3 linked regions of the Nothobranchius furzeri genome follow. The protein of the gene in region 3 purifies or fractionates together with the protein of the main gene of each other region. This does not show direct contact. Links are inferred from orthologs where the notes say so. Each region holds a gene or a part of one and is shown on either strand. Other genes may lie near its edges.

Region 1 (5,136 bases), on a different chromosome or scaffold from region 3:
CACAAATGTGGAACGATGCATGAGAAGAGTCTGGATTGTCCTGAGCGTGGTGTAGGCACTGCTAGCCGACGATCCTGTGATGACCGGAGCGGCCGGGCCGAGACGTAAGCCTTTGCAAGAGGATTCAGGTAGATGGGAGCCGTACCATCTCGGACTTTGTATGCTAGTGTTAGCAATTTGAATTTGATGCGTGCTGCTAGCGGTAGCCAGTGGAGCTCAATGAACAGAGGGGTGACGTGTGCTCTTTTTGGCTGATTGAAGACCAGACGCGCCGCTGTGTTCTGGACCATTTGAAGAGGTCTCACAGTACAGGCTGGAAGACCAGTTAAAAGGGCATTGCAGTAATCGAGGCGGGAGATGACAGTAGATTGCACCAGGAGCTGGGTGGCATGTTGTGTTAGGTATGGTCTGATCTTTCGTATGTTATACAGCGCAAAGCGGCATGAATGAGCAACAGAGGCAACATGATCTTTAAAGCTCAGGTGTTCATCAATCACAACACCCAGATTTCGAACTGCCTTTGAAGGAGCCAGAGATAGGAAGTAATTTTGGATTGAGATATTGTGTTCTATGGATGGTTTTGCTGGGATGACACAAGTAGTTCAGTTTTAGAGAGGTTGAGTTGGAGATGGTGGGATTTCATCCATTTTGACATGTCAGATCACTTGCCAAAAATAAATAAAAGTTATGTTGTAAACCACAAATGAGCTGTTTTTTATTGCTCATAAATGAAACGGCAAATAGGGGCAAGATACCACTTTAAAAAACAATTTTCTGTTCCTGTTGTCCAAATTTGAACCGATCCTGAAAAAAGTGTGCAGACTTTTCAGTTATTTATTTGATTCTCAACGCCTTTTTGCTCCATTTCCATGGTTCTTTCAGAACGCTGCTGAGGTGCTAGAACTGATGAGATGAAATCAGAATAAACTCCATGTAAAGCCTGAAAATTGAAATAACAATGAATCTACATTTATTATGTCATTCTGCAACACTAACAGTAAGAATAAAATGTGCCCGTGCCACCAGGGGGCAGTAGACATGTGTAGGAGTGGATAGGGCAGGGTTCTGATGAAGGTACTAATCCTGTTGCTCCGTCTGGAGGGTTTAAGGCCAGAAGTGGTTTGATTTGAAATTGCAAAAATGGATTCAAAGAAGTTAAAAGTCAATAAATAAGCATACTGAATGTTTGTGAAAACAACTAAAAAAACTAAGAAACTAAAAGTTTATGTACATTCTGCATGCAGTAGCATGTTTCTACCACCTGGGGGCAGGGCTAAGGATTTCTGTACCATAACTACAGTGGTGACCTGTGCTTTCCACCAGTCCTTTGTTTTAACTCGTGGTATGTTGGTGTTTGTCTCTGGAAACATGAGCGGCTTTACTTTAGCTTGAGAACGTGTTCTCATTCACAAACCGGCACATCAGGGCTTCATGTTGCAGATGCTGGACTCTAGGGTCGGCGCAAAAACCAACAAAGATGAGTTTTCTAGAGTTTAGTTTGTTAAACAAAAGTGCAGATATTAAATTCATTTGTGTTAATGTTGTGAGTGTGTCCACATGGGACTTTCTGTCCTCACCTGGCAGCTTGAGCCACTTGGGCACTTTGCCTGGGTCTGATCTGACCGGTTTAGCAGCCTGCGGGTGTGCTGATGGGCCTGGGTCTTCCTGTTTGGACCCTTTGGGGTCAGGAAGAGACGCCGCTTCTACAACACCTGCAGAGCTGCAGGAAGCTTCTGGAGAATGGAGCATGCAGCTGATGTAAGGAGACATGAGAAAGAACACATAAAGATAAAAACCGTGACGAAGGAGGAGAGTTGGTGTTTTGCTGATGGATGTTTGTGGATAAAAGGAGGTCCAGATTAGGAGGTAAAAACCTAACGCTGAGGTGGAAAAACAACCTTGCAAATGATGCAAAAGGCCAACAGTTACGGGTCACGCATGGGCTCTATTTTTAGAGCCTGATGCATGGTGTGTGTGTTTGAGAATGTGTGTGTGTGTGTGGAGGAAATGAGGGCGCAGGGGGGCACCTGCTGTTAGGCAGAACCTCAAAGGGATTCCACTGATGACAGCTTTGTGACAGGAAAATAGGCTGGTTGCCGCGGGATACAAGTACATAAATAAACACACAGGCAGGCACGCACGCACGCGTGCACGCACGCACACACACCTTTTTATGGACTGGTTTGCCTGGGAGGCCGACACAGACGTTTCCAGCAGCTCCTTCTTGATGTAAAAATCTGTGGAGCAGAAAAACTACGGTTGTTTTTATTACTTTCCACAGATTCACGTCTTTTTACGTCAGATCAGACAGAAAATAAAGAAACGGACAAGAACCTGTCTTGATGTCGGAGCCGAAGTACACCAGAGCACCAGGAAACAAGTCGGCCTGCAGACAGAGAGGGGTAAACAGGAGCCTCCAAACAAACAATAACAACAAACAAACATCTTGCTACACGTAAACCAGCAGCTGAAGACCAATCCAGCGCGTTTCTGGGGATGATTCACTGCTCAGGGATTTGAACCAGTAACCACAGGTTCTTTGAAGAAGACCACAAAATAAGCACCAATCAAATGGTTAGAGAAAACACTTTCGCCCCCGAAGCATCGCATTCCTCCACCAGAGACTTAATGGCTGTAATGGACCAGTCACGGGCAGATGTTTCATCAAGCGGACAATTAGGAGGTGAGAAGACAGACAGGCAGCAGAGCGGCCGGATGGACGACGGGCGTCTGTCAGCCCAACAGAGCAGGAACAAAAACAAAACATTCCTTCTACACGAGAAAACTACAAAAAGTCTAGAAATGACAAAAGCAGCAACACCATCACATCCAAAACAGCTCACTGACCAGAGAAATGAGTGTTTATGGGATTTCTGGGATCCTTTCAGGATTTTATTAGGATTTGTCAAACAGAAAATAAAAGGATTCAGGAAAACTGAATTATTCGTTAAGGCTTCTCCTGATGTGAGGAAGCTCATTTCCACAGAAAAGCATCTATTCTCAGCCATGAAATCCTTAAAAGAGCAGAAACCTGCTCTGCTTAGGTTTTACGTCTACATGGAAACTCGGATGGTCTCAGGAGGAAAACAAGTTTGTTTCTCTTTTACTGTTAATTCAATCAAAGCCTCTGAAAGCACGATTCTTCTTCCAGCTTGTCGGACCTTTTTCTGGGCTGTTTGAAGGGTAAAACCCAGGAATTCTGCAGTAAAAACGACTTGTTTTCTTATTGTTTTCCCTCTTATATCCCATCGTTCCTGAAAATCCACAGACGGTATCAGCTTTAAAAAAGGGAGCCTAAGCCACGCCCATCTACTTTGAGACCCTAAACCTACAGCTGAAACCCACAGGGGGGAGTTGGTCTTGAGGTGTGCCATGGGGTAAGATGTGACGTCCGTGAACTTTAAAGACACATTTTGATGCTTAGAAAGTGCTGATTGTCCACAACAGGAGACTCCAAACGTTTGTCTCAGTAAAGTAACATCATCAAACCAGACACGGAGAAGAGAAGTTTAGTTTAGCGAGCTTCACACGTCCTTCCAGGACAACAGGAGGAGCATCAAATGTGGAGAAAAACACCAGAAATCCAGTCATGTGGCCAGTAGCAGCTACGCTGGAGATAAGGAGGTTGTGGTGTGACGTCATAGATGACACGACTGATTGGTAGTCACAATACTTTACCAACTGTTACATCCTGATTAATCTCAGATTATGCGACAGAGTCAAAATTCACATTTAAAATGAAGGACAGGTGCTGGTCCTAAAATGAGAACATCTTCATGACAAAGTTTATTTATGTCAGTAATTCTATTCAAAAAGTGAAACTTGCACATTAGATTAATTCATCACACACAGACTGATGTATTCCAAATGTTTATTTCTTTAATGTTGATGATTATAACTGACCAACTAATGAAAATACCTAATTCAGTATCTCAGATAATTAGAATAATGTGAAAAGCTTCAATACTGAAGACCCCTGGTGTTGCACTCCAGTCAGCTGATTAACCCTGCAGAGCCTTTAAATGGCCTGGGTCTAGCTCTGCAGGCTGCAGTCATGGGGATGACTGCTGACTAGACACTTGTCCCAACGACGACCCGTGACACTTGCACAAGGACGGAAAACACTAAAGGTAAAGAGGCTGGCTGTTCACGGAGCTGTGTCCAAACACATGAACAGAGGTGAAGGAAGGACAAGATGTGGTAGAAAAAACAACTTTAAAATTTGTTTTAGACGTTAAGGCAGTCCCGGAAACTACCCGTACGTCTTGGTCTGTTGCGGTGTCGAGTTGACTGAGGCGCGTGACACCATTGGGCACGCTGGCTCGTACTCGTTGACTGAAAGCTCCCCCTGGTGGAAAAACAGCGCTATTGGCCAAGGCGGTGGGCTCTCAGAAATGATTCGCTTAGCTGTAGGGGGGAGGGGCTTAAGAGAAAAATTAAATAAGCAAGACTATTTGTATTTTCTCCTAAAACTGGGTCAAAGAGTCAAACTTAAGGATTTTTAAAGTTATTTAACTATTCAAATGTACACACTACACCTTTAACCCCGTAGAAAATCTGTGGGGTGTTGTGAAGAAGATGCAACACGCCAGACCAGACAGTTCAGAAGAGCTGAAGGCCACCATCAGAGCAACAGCGCCACAGACTGATGGACTCCATGTCACACCGCATAGCTGCAGCAATCCAGGCTGAAGGTACCCTTCACATTTACCTGCTCATACTTCTCAGCTGGCCAACATTTCTAACATTGCTCTTAGTAGATATCCTGATTTTCTGAGATACTGAATTAGGGATTTTCAGTAGTTGTCAGTTATAATCATCAACATTAAAGAAACAAACATTTGAAACACACTACCAGTCAGAAGTTTTAGAACGCCCCAATTTTTCCCAGTTTTTTATTGGAAACGATGCAGTTTAAAGTCACATTGCATTCTGAAATGAAAGCATGGTACAAATAAGCAATTGGAGTTAAAAAGAAATCATGGAATCCATTTATAGACCAAAATGTGTTCTAAACGTTTGACTCATCACAGTAGCCACCTTTGGCAGACATAACAGCTGAACACACTCGTGGCATTCTTTCTACAACAGAAATCAATCGTTCTTCAGAAAGTTCTTCCATATCTGTTGCAGAAG
Region 2 (5,136 bases), on a different chromosome or scaffold from region 3:
TGATAATGCTGCAGGATTTCATAATTTTATCCTTCTCAGCAGCAGCACTGTAGGTGCGCTCCATGTCCAACACGTGCGTAAGCCAGGTCCTCAGTCAACTTAAAGTTGTGCACATTTTTCCACTAAGTTTTCTTTCATAAATCCCAAAGTTTGCATGGAAAGTTGCTTACGCAGTTTTCCGACCCCGTTTTGTGCGTAAGCAAGCTTGATAAATGAGGCCCCTGGTCTTTACATGCATCTTTGTAGACAGGAGGCATGATTTTTACGGTGGTGTTTTGTGACCAATGCAGAAGTAATTTGTCAGAATATCCAGGTTTCAGAACCGAGACCAGACCAGCTTCAGAGGAAGGAGAAATGCCTGATGATGCAAGTGGGCTGCTTTCTCCTGGATGCAGGAAAAATCTCTACCTGGCCCAATTGAAACTGAGACAGGAAAATGCATGAATGCAGCCAAAAACGGGTTTGGGGTATTTCTCAAAAGAACCTTTAAAGAACGTTTATAAGAAAAGCTAATTTTTCATCAGTGGAGTTTTTCTTTTAATGTGGCTGCGGATGACCCAGTTTTCCTTCTTGTTGTAATTCCTTATTTTAGTCCTTGATTATTCAGTTAAATTTTTTCTTCTGCAGGCATGGAGACATGTTGTTTCTGTTCCCCTCTGCTTCTTCCGCCTCTTCTGGGGAGGTTATGGACACAGCCACCACACACACATCTTCATCTGTCACCTCCGTCTCATCCACTTCTTCATCTTCCTCCTCATCCTCCTTGATCCCTCGGTCCACTTCAGCACCCCAGGTCCAAGAGGATGAGATCGATCAGTATCTGACCAAGCAAGATGGCAAGATCTACAGGAACAGAGACCCTCAGCTGTAAGAACAAGACCAGCTCCTCACAACCAAGGAACATGCAGATACAGAAAATTCACTGGCGTTCTCTTTGTTTTAGATGTCGTCATGGCTCCCTTGGAAAATGTGTGCACTGTGTACCGTTAGAGGTAACTACTCTTATTCTTCATGGTTGAAATTTTAACACCATCCGCCCTAAATGGTTTGCTCCCCCCAGCCCTTTGATGAAGACTACCTGAATCACCTCGACCCACCAGTGAAGCACATGTCATTTCACGCGTACCTTCGCAAGCTGACCGGTGGAGCTGATAAGTGAGGGGTTTGTTTTGAATTCATCCACCTGATTCGCTCCTGATTTCTGTCAGATTCTGACTTGGTTCTGATCTCCTGCAGAGGGAAGTTTGCAGCTTTAGAGAACATTAGCTGTAAGATAAAGTCGGGCTGTGAGGGTCATCCTCCCTGGCCTGAGGGGATCTGTACTAAGTGTCAGCCAAGTGCCATCACTCTCAACAGACAGGTACGACCCCATTTGGGCGAAAAGATTCTGTTAATTCTATTTGGTGAAGATCATTACTGAGTACTAATCCTGGTTGTTTATGTTGGCATCTATATTAATCTGATACTTTGATTTTCAAACGTTAATAAATCTCTCAGCTGACTTGGTGGGCTGAAAGTGTGTGTGCGTGCGTGCGTACATGTGTAATCCTAAATGGCTGTTTTCTGTTCCTAGAAATACAGACATGTGGACAACATCATGTTTGAGAACCACACTACTGCCGACCGCTTCCTGGACTTCTGGAGGAAAACGGGCAGCCAGAGGATGGGCTACTTGTACGGTCGGTACACCGAACACACAGACATCCCTCTGGGCATTAGAGCGGAGGTAGCTGCCATCTATGAGCCCCCACAGGTGAGACGGTCCTGCTGAACATGTGTCTGCTCAAGTTATTTACTCAGCCATGTCTTCTGATCAGTTTTTAAATGTGCTTTTCTGGTCTGGTTGGTGTTTCAGAGTGCTACCCAGAACAGCCTGGAACTGCTGGAGGATCCCAAGGCTGCAGCTGTAGATGAAATCGCTGCCAAGCTGGGCCTCTGCAAGGTTGGTTCCTCACTTACTGGGTGTTCGGTTGGGTTATTTGAGGGATTTCATGCCTTGCTGGTTTGTTTACAAGTTAATGCCATTCTTCAAACACATTCTCTTCATTTAAACAAACATACTGAACCACAGATATGCAGGAAATAAGGGACTTCTTATTATGTATTATAAAAGGTTTGTGTTCAATGTTTAAACTTTGGGGAAAGCAGTTTTCAGGCAGCTGCTCTTACACACCAGGAGACGTAAAAAACTTTATTCAGACTTTTCATCCACAGTATACATATTTCACTAATTACCCTCTGGAGCAGCCAACTTAAGGTTAGAGAAAAGTATTTGAGTAATTTCACCTTAAACAGTTGGACTCTTTAATATTTTTTTATGATTATATGCTTTTTATATAGAATCTTACTGTAGCAAATAGTTGAAATAGTTGAAATTTGATGTGTTGTTTCTACAATTTTTCTCTAATTTTGTATAATCTCTGCACAAATCTTTAGTTGGTCTAATCCAAGTTGTTCTTGTGATGTAGGTGGGCTGGATCTTCACTGACCTGCTGTCTGAGGATATGAGGATAGGTACTGTCCGCTACACAAGAAACAAGGTGAGAATGCACTCTGTTGGCCAGACTAAACCTGCTTTCCTCCATCTGACATAAATACCTTCATCCAACCGTCAGGACTCACACTACCTGAGTGCAGAGGAGTGCATCACGGCTGGATTCTTCCAGAACCAACATTCAAACTCCTGCAGACTCTCTCGAGACGGATACTTCGGGTCCAAGTTTGTGACCGTTGTTGCAACAGGTAATTCAGTTTAACCGCTGTCCTCGGACATACCGGACCAACTTTGTCCTCCAAACACTAAAGCCTGATTTATGCTTCTCCGTCTGCGTCAGTGCGGAGACACGCAACGCCATTATCCGTCCTTGCGTAGGGCACGCAAGTACGTACGGAGTAGAGCCCACTTTTTTAAGCATCCGTCGAACGAGATGGATTACGCAAGCTTGTGATTGGTCAGGACGCCGCTGTTATTTACAGCGCCGCCATTGCAAAGAGAGCCGAGGATAACTAGCGGCAGACACGGGGAAGCTTGAAGAATATCTCGCGAAAAAACTCTAAAAATATGAACGTTTAATTCTCCCGTGACTGGAGGAGTGAAAAGATGCGCAGCAAGCATTTTATTTGTGGACGGAAATGACAGGAAACGTGGGTTTAGAGGTGGGGAGCGCATGAAGCGGTGGGAGAATGAGAGACAAATATGTCCGTGTTAAAAGTCTCTTATATACACAAAACACACAATATAAACACACGATCTTGGACCGATACATGACAGGATACCACAGAACAGCGCTACGCCCTCTGTTGTCCTGCCGGGGAATTGCTTTGCAACACTCCAGGAGACGGAGAAGTATGAGAGCAAAACGCTTCCGTCAGTCCGTGCGTGTCTGTCCCTTGCGGAGCTGACGGAGAAGCATAAACCAGGCTCAACACATGAACCGTCCCATGAGCCTTTGCACCACTGATTCAAACATTGCCCTCATTTAAAGGGATCAGAGCTGTTGTTACCAGTGTGAAAATTAAGTGTTTATTATGCCCCATCTTTGGCCGATGGGAGAATGTGGATGGAGCCCAAAGTCATCAGTGACCTCATCAGTTGTATTTGTGTGAAAGAACAGCTGTCGGCCAAAGCTCACATCGTGGTTGCACATCTCTCGACTGCCAGGATGAAATCCATCTCCTTAACTTTCCCTTGTGTGTGTGTTTTCATATGAGTAATGTTGGTAAGGCTCTGGATGTTCCAGTAATGTCGAAGCATTTAGTGGAACTTATGTGTTTCTTCTCTTGTCCGGTAGACTTTGTTTTAATTTGTCGGTATGAAGTAAAACAGACATGTTTCAGTTCTAGAGCTGCTGCTTCTTCCCTCATCATCACTGCTTTTACACTTTACATTTGTACGACTGTTCCTCGTGAAGGTGGTCCAGATAACCAGGTGCACTTTGAAGGATACCAGGTATCCAACCAGTGCATGGCTCTGGTACGGGATGAGTGCCTGCTGCCCTGTAAAGATGCCCCGGAGCTGGGCTACGCCAAGGAGTCGAGCCCTGAGCAGTACGTACCAGATGTCTTCTACAAGGTGAGACTTTCCTCCGATGAAACACTACTCTTCTAAAAACTAAACACAGCCTCTGGTTGGATTTATCAGAAAAAGTGACTCACCTGTTCTTTGTGGCAACGTTGTTGATTTCAGGTGGTTAGTTTGGGGTCTGTTTATATGTGAATGTTTTATTCAACAGGACAAAGACAAATTTGGAAATGACGTGACGTTTCTAGCTCGACCTCTTCCTGTAGAGTATCTTATCATAGATGTGAGTCTGATGTCTTCATTTTCTGTTTCACACTTGTTGGATTTATTCTCTGTTAAAGTCTCTGCTTGTGCAGGCATAGTTTTTGGATCTGATTTTGCTCTTTTATACGCGTTTCCTCCCAGATAACCACAACCTTTCCAAAGGACCCTCAGTACACCTTCACCTCCACTCAACGCTTCCCCATCGAAAACCGAGATATTCTTGGAGAGACGCAAGTAAGCACTCTTCAGTTTAAACGCAGGTTTCCAGATTTAGAGACTTTTAGACAGGAGACAGGAAAGAACATTTGAATGAGCTGGTTTGTTTCACTTCAGCTGACAGTTCTAGATGCATCATCATAAAACCAATTAAGAAACCAAATGCAGTCCTTTAGAAAATAGTTAAACTGAATATTAGAAGATGTCAGGATTGTACATATTAGCAATGCAGCTGTTTAAAACTTCAGTTTAAAAATTAGCTGGGAGTGTCGATGTGTAAATGAACACAACCTTAATGTTTATCACGACTATGTTAAGATATGATGTCACTTGTGGTGCTCTCAGTCACCTTAGATGTTGTCTGTTGAGGAAACGAATGAGGATTATTTGAAGGAGCTTCAGGCAAATCTGAACGTAACTTATCTTTTCACCAAATAGAATATTTACTAAGACATCACAATATAACTATAGACACATTACTTGTCTTTGTGTGTGTGTGTGTGTGTGTGTGTGTGTGTGTGTGTGTACGCGCGTGTGTGTGCGCGTGTGTGTGTGTGTGCGTGCGTGTGCGCGTGCGTGCTCTGTCTTCTCGATCCCCAGTGAGTCGTGGTGGATGGCTGCTTATACTGAGCTGG
Region 3 (4,500 bases):
TAAAAACTCTGCACCGCATTTAAATTTGGAATCTGCCATCGCTATTGGCTAAGAGGTATGCTATGATGTCAACTGGTACCATATGATGTCACAGTGTCGTTGTGAGCCTGTGTGTGTGTGTGTGTGTGTGTGTGTGTGTGTGTGTGTGTGTGTGTGTGTGTGTGTGTGTGTGTGTGTGTGTGTGTGTGTGTGTGTGTGTGTGTTAGCGGCTCCGCCCTCTCGGTTTGATAAGCAACAGCATTTGTTGCATTTTTCAAACAGGAAGTGGGAGTGAGGTAAGTTTCTTGTAGGGGTGACTTGCTCTTTAAGGTCAGGAACTTGTTCGGGCAGTCCGATGATGTTGCAGAATATGATTTAAATGTACTTTTACGTTCACTAATAACCTCTGCATAATAAATATTCTAAATTAACTTTATTTAGGTGTCTGACTTTAACACTGAGCAGTGCACAAACAATTAGTTAAATTCAGAGTTTAAAAACTGATTCAGCTTCTGATGTTCTGCATTTTAGTGTGAAAATAAGGTGGAAAATGTCTCTATCAGCCTTGAAGATCACCAGTACATGTCAGTTACTGGCTGACCATGTCTCCTACATATCTGCTTCGGTGCTGGCAACACAATATCGGTCTACCTCTAGTGTGAATTATCACTAATGTAAGGTTTTCATTAAGTAATTACATTTCATTTGTTTAACACCATCCATAGAAAAAATGCAGATAAAAAAGGTAATCTTGTTCTGTAATTACTTGATTTGTAAGACTTTCTCTATCTTCCAGACTGTTAAGTTGTTGCACTTTTTGTTAAAAAGTACCTGATCATGTAAAGTCCACAAACAATAATTATAAAATTAACCAGTGAAGGTATGACATATTATTAAAGGAATCATGTGTTGTTGTTTAGAGAAAATAAAAGCATGAATAATAATAATAATAATAATAATAATGTTTTGACACCAGCCTTTCAAATTTGAACTTTTTAAAAATAGAAATAATTTTCAGAGACTTGACCAAACAGCTGAGATTCTTGTTATTACTAATTCTAATAATGACCAAGCTTTTGATGTCTGACATGGTTAAATATGACAGACTGTTTAATTCAGATGAACTTGACTGTAGTTTCAGTGCTTAAACCATTCAAAGTTGATCATCTGTTATCTAACTGGCGTGCAATGAGCTCTACTGCAGCAGACAGAAAAAAACAAGGCAGTGGTTGTTTTTGTTTATCTTTCTGATGTGTTGACATTAAACGGATGCTGATGTCAGCAAACATCGTTTGTTTGCTTGTTTTTTCTGTTTCTAGTTAAAAGGGAACTGGAGGCTGAGGCGGCCGCAGTGGCTGAAAAAGCAAAAGCAGCATCAGCCGAGGTCTGGGCTGGCTCTAGCGACACAACTTTTCCATTTTATTTAACTCCATAAATGACTGGATGAATTTATGTTCAGGGATCCGGAGTTCCAGTGAAAGATTTTGCCTGCCTCTCCGTGTCGGGTGTTTATTTCACCTGTCCTCTCACTGGAGCCACGCTAACGAAAAGTCAGAGGGAGGTGCACCTTAAGGAGGCCATTTTCATGGTACGTCTGTTGGAGCATGGCTTTATTTTTTATCAACATAATAATGAGATTAAAGCTAATCCTGCTGGTTTTGTTGGTGAAATAATCTCTGTTTCTACCATCAGCGCTTTGAGGAGGATGCAGTGGAGGCTTCTGTTATGATGATCCACACGTTTAACAAAGACAGAGACAAAGTGAAGACTGCTGTGGACATTATTAGCAAGTAAGTCGGTTATAGCAGGGTTTGGTGCGGTGTGGGTCATCATGGACCAGCTTTTCAGGCGAGCGTTTCTATCGCAGTTTGGGCTCTCATGTTGGCAGGCAGGGTTAAACGAACCGTCATACGCAATTAAAAAAAAAGTTGTGCAGCTATTCTGTATTTTTGTGCTGCAATAAATGGTCTGCTGAGCTAAAGACAGAAATAAATGCTTACCAACAGACTCCACAAGTAACTTCAGTGTGTGTTTCTCCCATTTCCACCCTGAAAAAAAAATCCACTCCGGCTTTTTCTGTCCTAACCTTTCTACACGGGGCTTACATTTCTTCAGCTTGGCCCCGTTCCGACGTCCGCTGGAATCCTTCGGCTGCCATCCACTGAGAAACAAAACGTATTACAATCCTTACCGATCCTTCTAGCTCAGGGGTGTCACACTCGCACGGGGCCGAGATGAAACTCTGGGACGGAGTCGAGGGCCAAACTTCATATTTTTTTGAAAAAGTGACGGCAAATTTGCACATTTTCTTTATCAACATATATGCAATTTTGAACCTTTAAATTTGGAAACAAACATATTTCTGCATTAACACTGAATGTGGAATAACCAAATTACACACGAGCAAGTCAGTTTTAAATAAAACGCATCAGTGGTATTTATTACTTGTGGTATAATCAGCATTTTATAAATCTATTCAGGATTTATGTTTTCTTGTTTATTCATTTTTCTTATTTTTTATTCTCCCTTTTTCCTCCTGTAATACGTGTCATCGCTGCTGTGACGTCTAGCTTTCCCCACTGAGGAACAATAAAGGGATTTTCTATTCTATTCATCTATCTGCAGCCTTTCCACTTCCTGTTTACTGTAGGTTAAATCTTTTCTCACGGGCCAACAACAAAATAAAAATATCATTTTATCTTAAATGAAAATGCAACATCTCACCTGTTAACTTTCATGTTTTGGAGCAGAAAAAGAGCATAAAGCCAACATCGGACTGACAAAAACTAGAACAGTTCTTGTATGTGAAGCCATATCTGTTTGTATTAATGTGGAGTTCGTCTGTATATTTCCTTCGTTGTTATCTAAATACTTTCTTTGACTCAAAATATTGCTTGGTGTCTTTCAATAAAGTTCTTATATGTAATTTTGCCCCATTTCTTCAACATCAAGAGCTTTTGAGGGTCACCGTTTATCATTTGCTTATATTTAACATTTCCTCTAGAAATTTAAACATATTTTCTCCAAAAAGGGTTGATTTTTGGACTACAGGGCTACAACCGCAAATTTGTTCTGACCAATCAAAATCAAAACGTGATAACGTCACTTCCTTAAGCTTCATGTTCAGCCAATCAACTACTTTGATGTCATCGGCAGTCGAAGGACCCCGAGCCGATCCTGCACCCGAGCCGATCCTGTACTGACACCGGCAGCAGACGCTGGAAAAAACACAAAGGAGGGGGCGGTTCGGCTCTGCGCTAATGCCGCAAAGCATCATGGGAGTTGTAGTCTTTGCTGTAAAATCGCCCTAAAAGGTAGCGCGCCGATCCTCCCCGTTGTGTGCCAAAACGGTCGAGGGAAATGAGGCTTTAGGACGGGTATTAGGCTTTTACCTCAACATCTTTATAATATTTTCAGCTGCTTTTATATTTTACTTAGATTTTTTTAATTGTTTGATGACAGGTATGTTGAGAACATCTGTAAAAACCCCACAGAGGAGAAATACAGGAAGATTAAAGTCAGTAACAAGGTGTTTCAGGTGAGTTTGAGACCAGCTTCCTGTGCCCCGTGTTTCTTTCCTGTCTGGCTCTGGGCTGATCGTTTAGGAAAGGCTGTACATCAGACAGTGTTGTATATTTAATATGATTCCTCGTTTTGTTTTAGGAGAAAGTGCTTCCTGTTGAAGGCAGTCGAGAGTTTCTGCAGGCTTTGGGTTTCATCAGTGTTATGCTTCCTGTGGAGGGCCAAGGTAAAGGAGTGGTCCTTTTGTTTTTTTATAAATTTGTCTGAGAGAGATCGGTGTTATTACGTGCACTTGCTTTTTTCACTTTCACTGGCGATCAGAGGAGGACGAGGAGTTCCTGGTGTTACCAGAGCAGAGCCCCGATGCCCTGGAGCTGATGAAGGAGAGAAGAGATCGTCTTCAGAAAGGACAACCGGTCAGAGCTCAGCTGGACCGGCAGCCTCAGGCGTTCAGACCATCTCCTAACGCTCAGAAATTCGAGCTGCCGTCGGAGTTCTACAATCTGACAGCAGAGGAGCTGAAGAGGGAACAACAGCTCAGGTACCGGGTTAGATACACAAATCCACCTCAGGCTGCTTCTAGCCGTCAGTCAGAGCGGGTACTGAACACACCTGTGCAGCGCCAGGCTAAAGACCAGAGGCGACAGATCATTTGCTGCTGTGGCCCCCAGACTCTTGAACTCTCTCCCCCTGAGCCTGAGATCAGTGGACTCAGTGGTCTCCTTTAAAACGCAGCAGAAACCTCACTTGTTCAGGCTGGTTTTGGTGTGACCTTCATGACCCTCTCATTGTTCTGCTCTCCCCACCTATTCCACCTTCCTCAGGATCCACTCATTTCCCTCTTATCTATTCACTCTCTTTCTTTTCATTTTTAATCGCAATTGTCTATTTTTTTGCTCATTTAAAATATATTGTTAACAATTTTCTAAATAATTTTTGATATTTTTACATTATTTGTTTTTGTGAAGCGCCTCGTGATTTTTATCTTGAGAGGCGCTA

The links. The genes of interacting proteins can lie anywhere in the genome.
Region 1: the proteins of ubxn6 (region 3) and aspscr1 purify together in Homo sapiens (affinity purification with mass spectrometry; 4 studies listed by BioGRID and IntAct, counting the BioPlex papers as one, with this or other methods). This does not show direct contact. The link is inferred for Nothobranchius furzeri from reciprocal best matches to the Homo sapiens genes UBXN6 and ASPSCR1.
Region 2: the proteins of ubxn6 (region 3) and nploc4 purify together in Homo sapiens (affinity purification with western blotting; 3 studies listed by BioGRID and IntAct, with this or other methods). This does not show direct contact. The link is inferred for Nothobranchius furzeri from reciprocal best matches to the Homo sapiens genes UBXN6 and NPLOC4.

Annotation. Positions count from the first base shown.
Region 1 is NC_091746.1:22,798,916-22,804,051, forward strand, and holds part of aspscr1 (tether containing UBX domain for GLUT4), read right to left. Parts: intron 2,387-5,136; coding exon 2,335-2,386; intron 2,238-2,334; coding exon 2,168-2,237; intron 1,754-2,167; coding exon 1,578-1,753; intron 1-1,577. UniProt on the Homo sapiens protein: Tethering protein that sequesters GLUT4-containing vesicles in the cytoplasm in the absence of insulin. Modulates the amount of GLUT4 that is available at the cell surface. Enhances VCP methylation catalyzed by VCPKMT.
Region 2 is NC_091756.1:53,426,216-53,431,351, reverse strand, and holds part of nploc4 (nuclear protein localization protein 4 homolog), read left to right. Parts: intron 1-627; coding exon 628-867; intron 868-943; coding exon 944-992; intron 993-1,060; coding exon 1,061-1,155; intron 1,156-1,236; coding exon 1,237-1,360; intron 1,361-1,573; coding exon 1,574-1,753; intron 1,754-1,855; coding exon 1,856-1,942; intron 1,943-2,468; coding exon 2,469-2,540; intron 2,541-2,615; coding exon 2,616-2,742; intron 2,743-3,911; coding exon 3,912-4,072; intron 4,073-4,232; coding exon 4,233-4,304; intron 4,305-4,426; coding exon 4,427-4,519; intron 4,520-5,136. UniProt on the Homo sapiens protein: The ternary complex containing UFD1, VCP and NPLOC4 binds ubiquitinated proteins and is necessary for the export of misfolded proteins from the ER to the cytoplasm, where they are degraded by the proteasome.
Region 3 is NC_091748.1:48,270,588-48,275,087, forward strand, and holds part of ubxn6 (UBX domain-containing protein 6), read left to right. Parts: intron 1-1,298; coding exon 1,299-1,363; intron 1,364-1,438; coding exon 1,439-1,567; intron 1,568-1,671; coding exon 1,672-1,769; intron 1,770-3,441; coding exon 3,442-3,517; intron 3,518-3,642; coding exon 3,643-3,727; intron 3,728-3,822; coding exon 3,823-4,042; intron 4,043-4,500. UniProt on the Homo sapiens protein: May negatively regulate the ATPase activity of VCP, an ATP-driven segregase that associates with different cofactors to control a wide variety of cellular processes.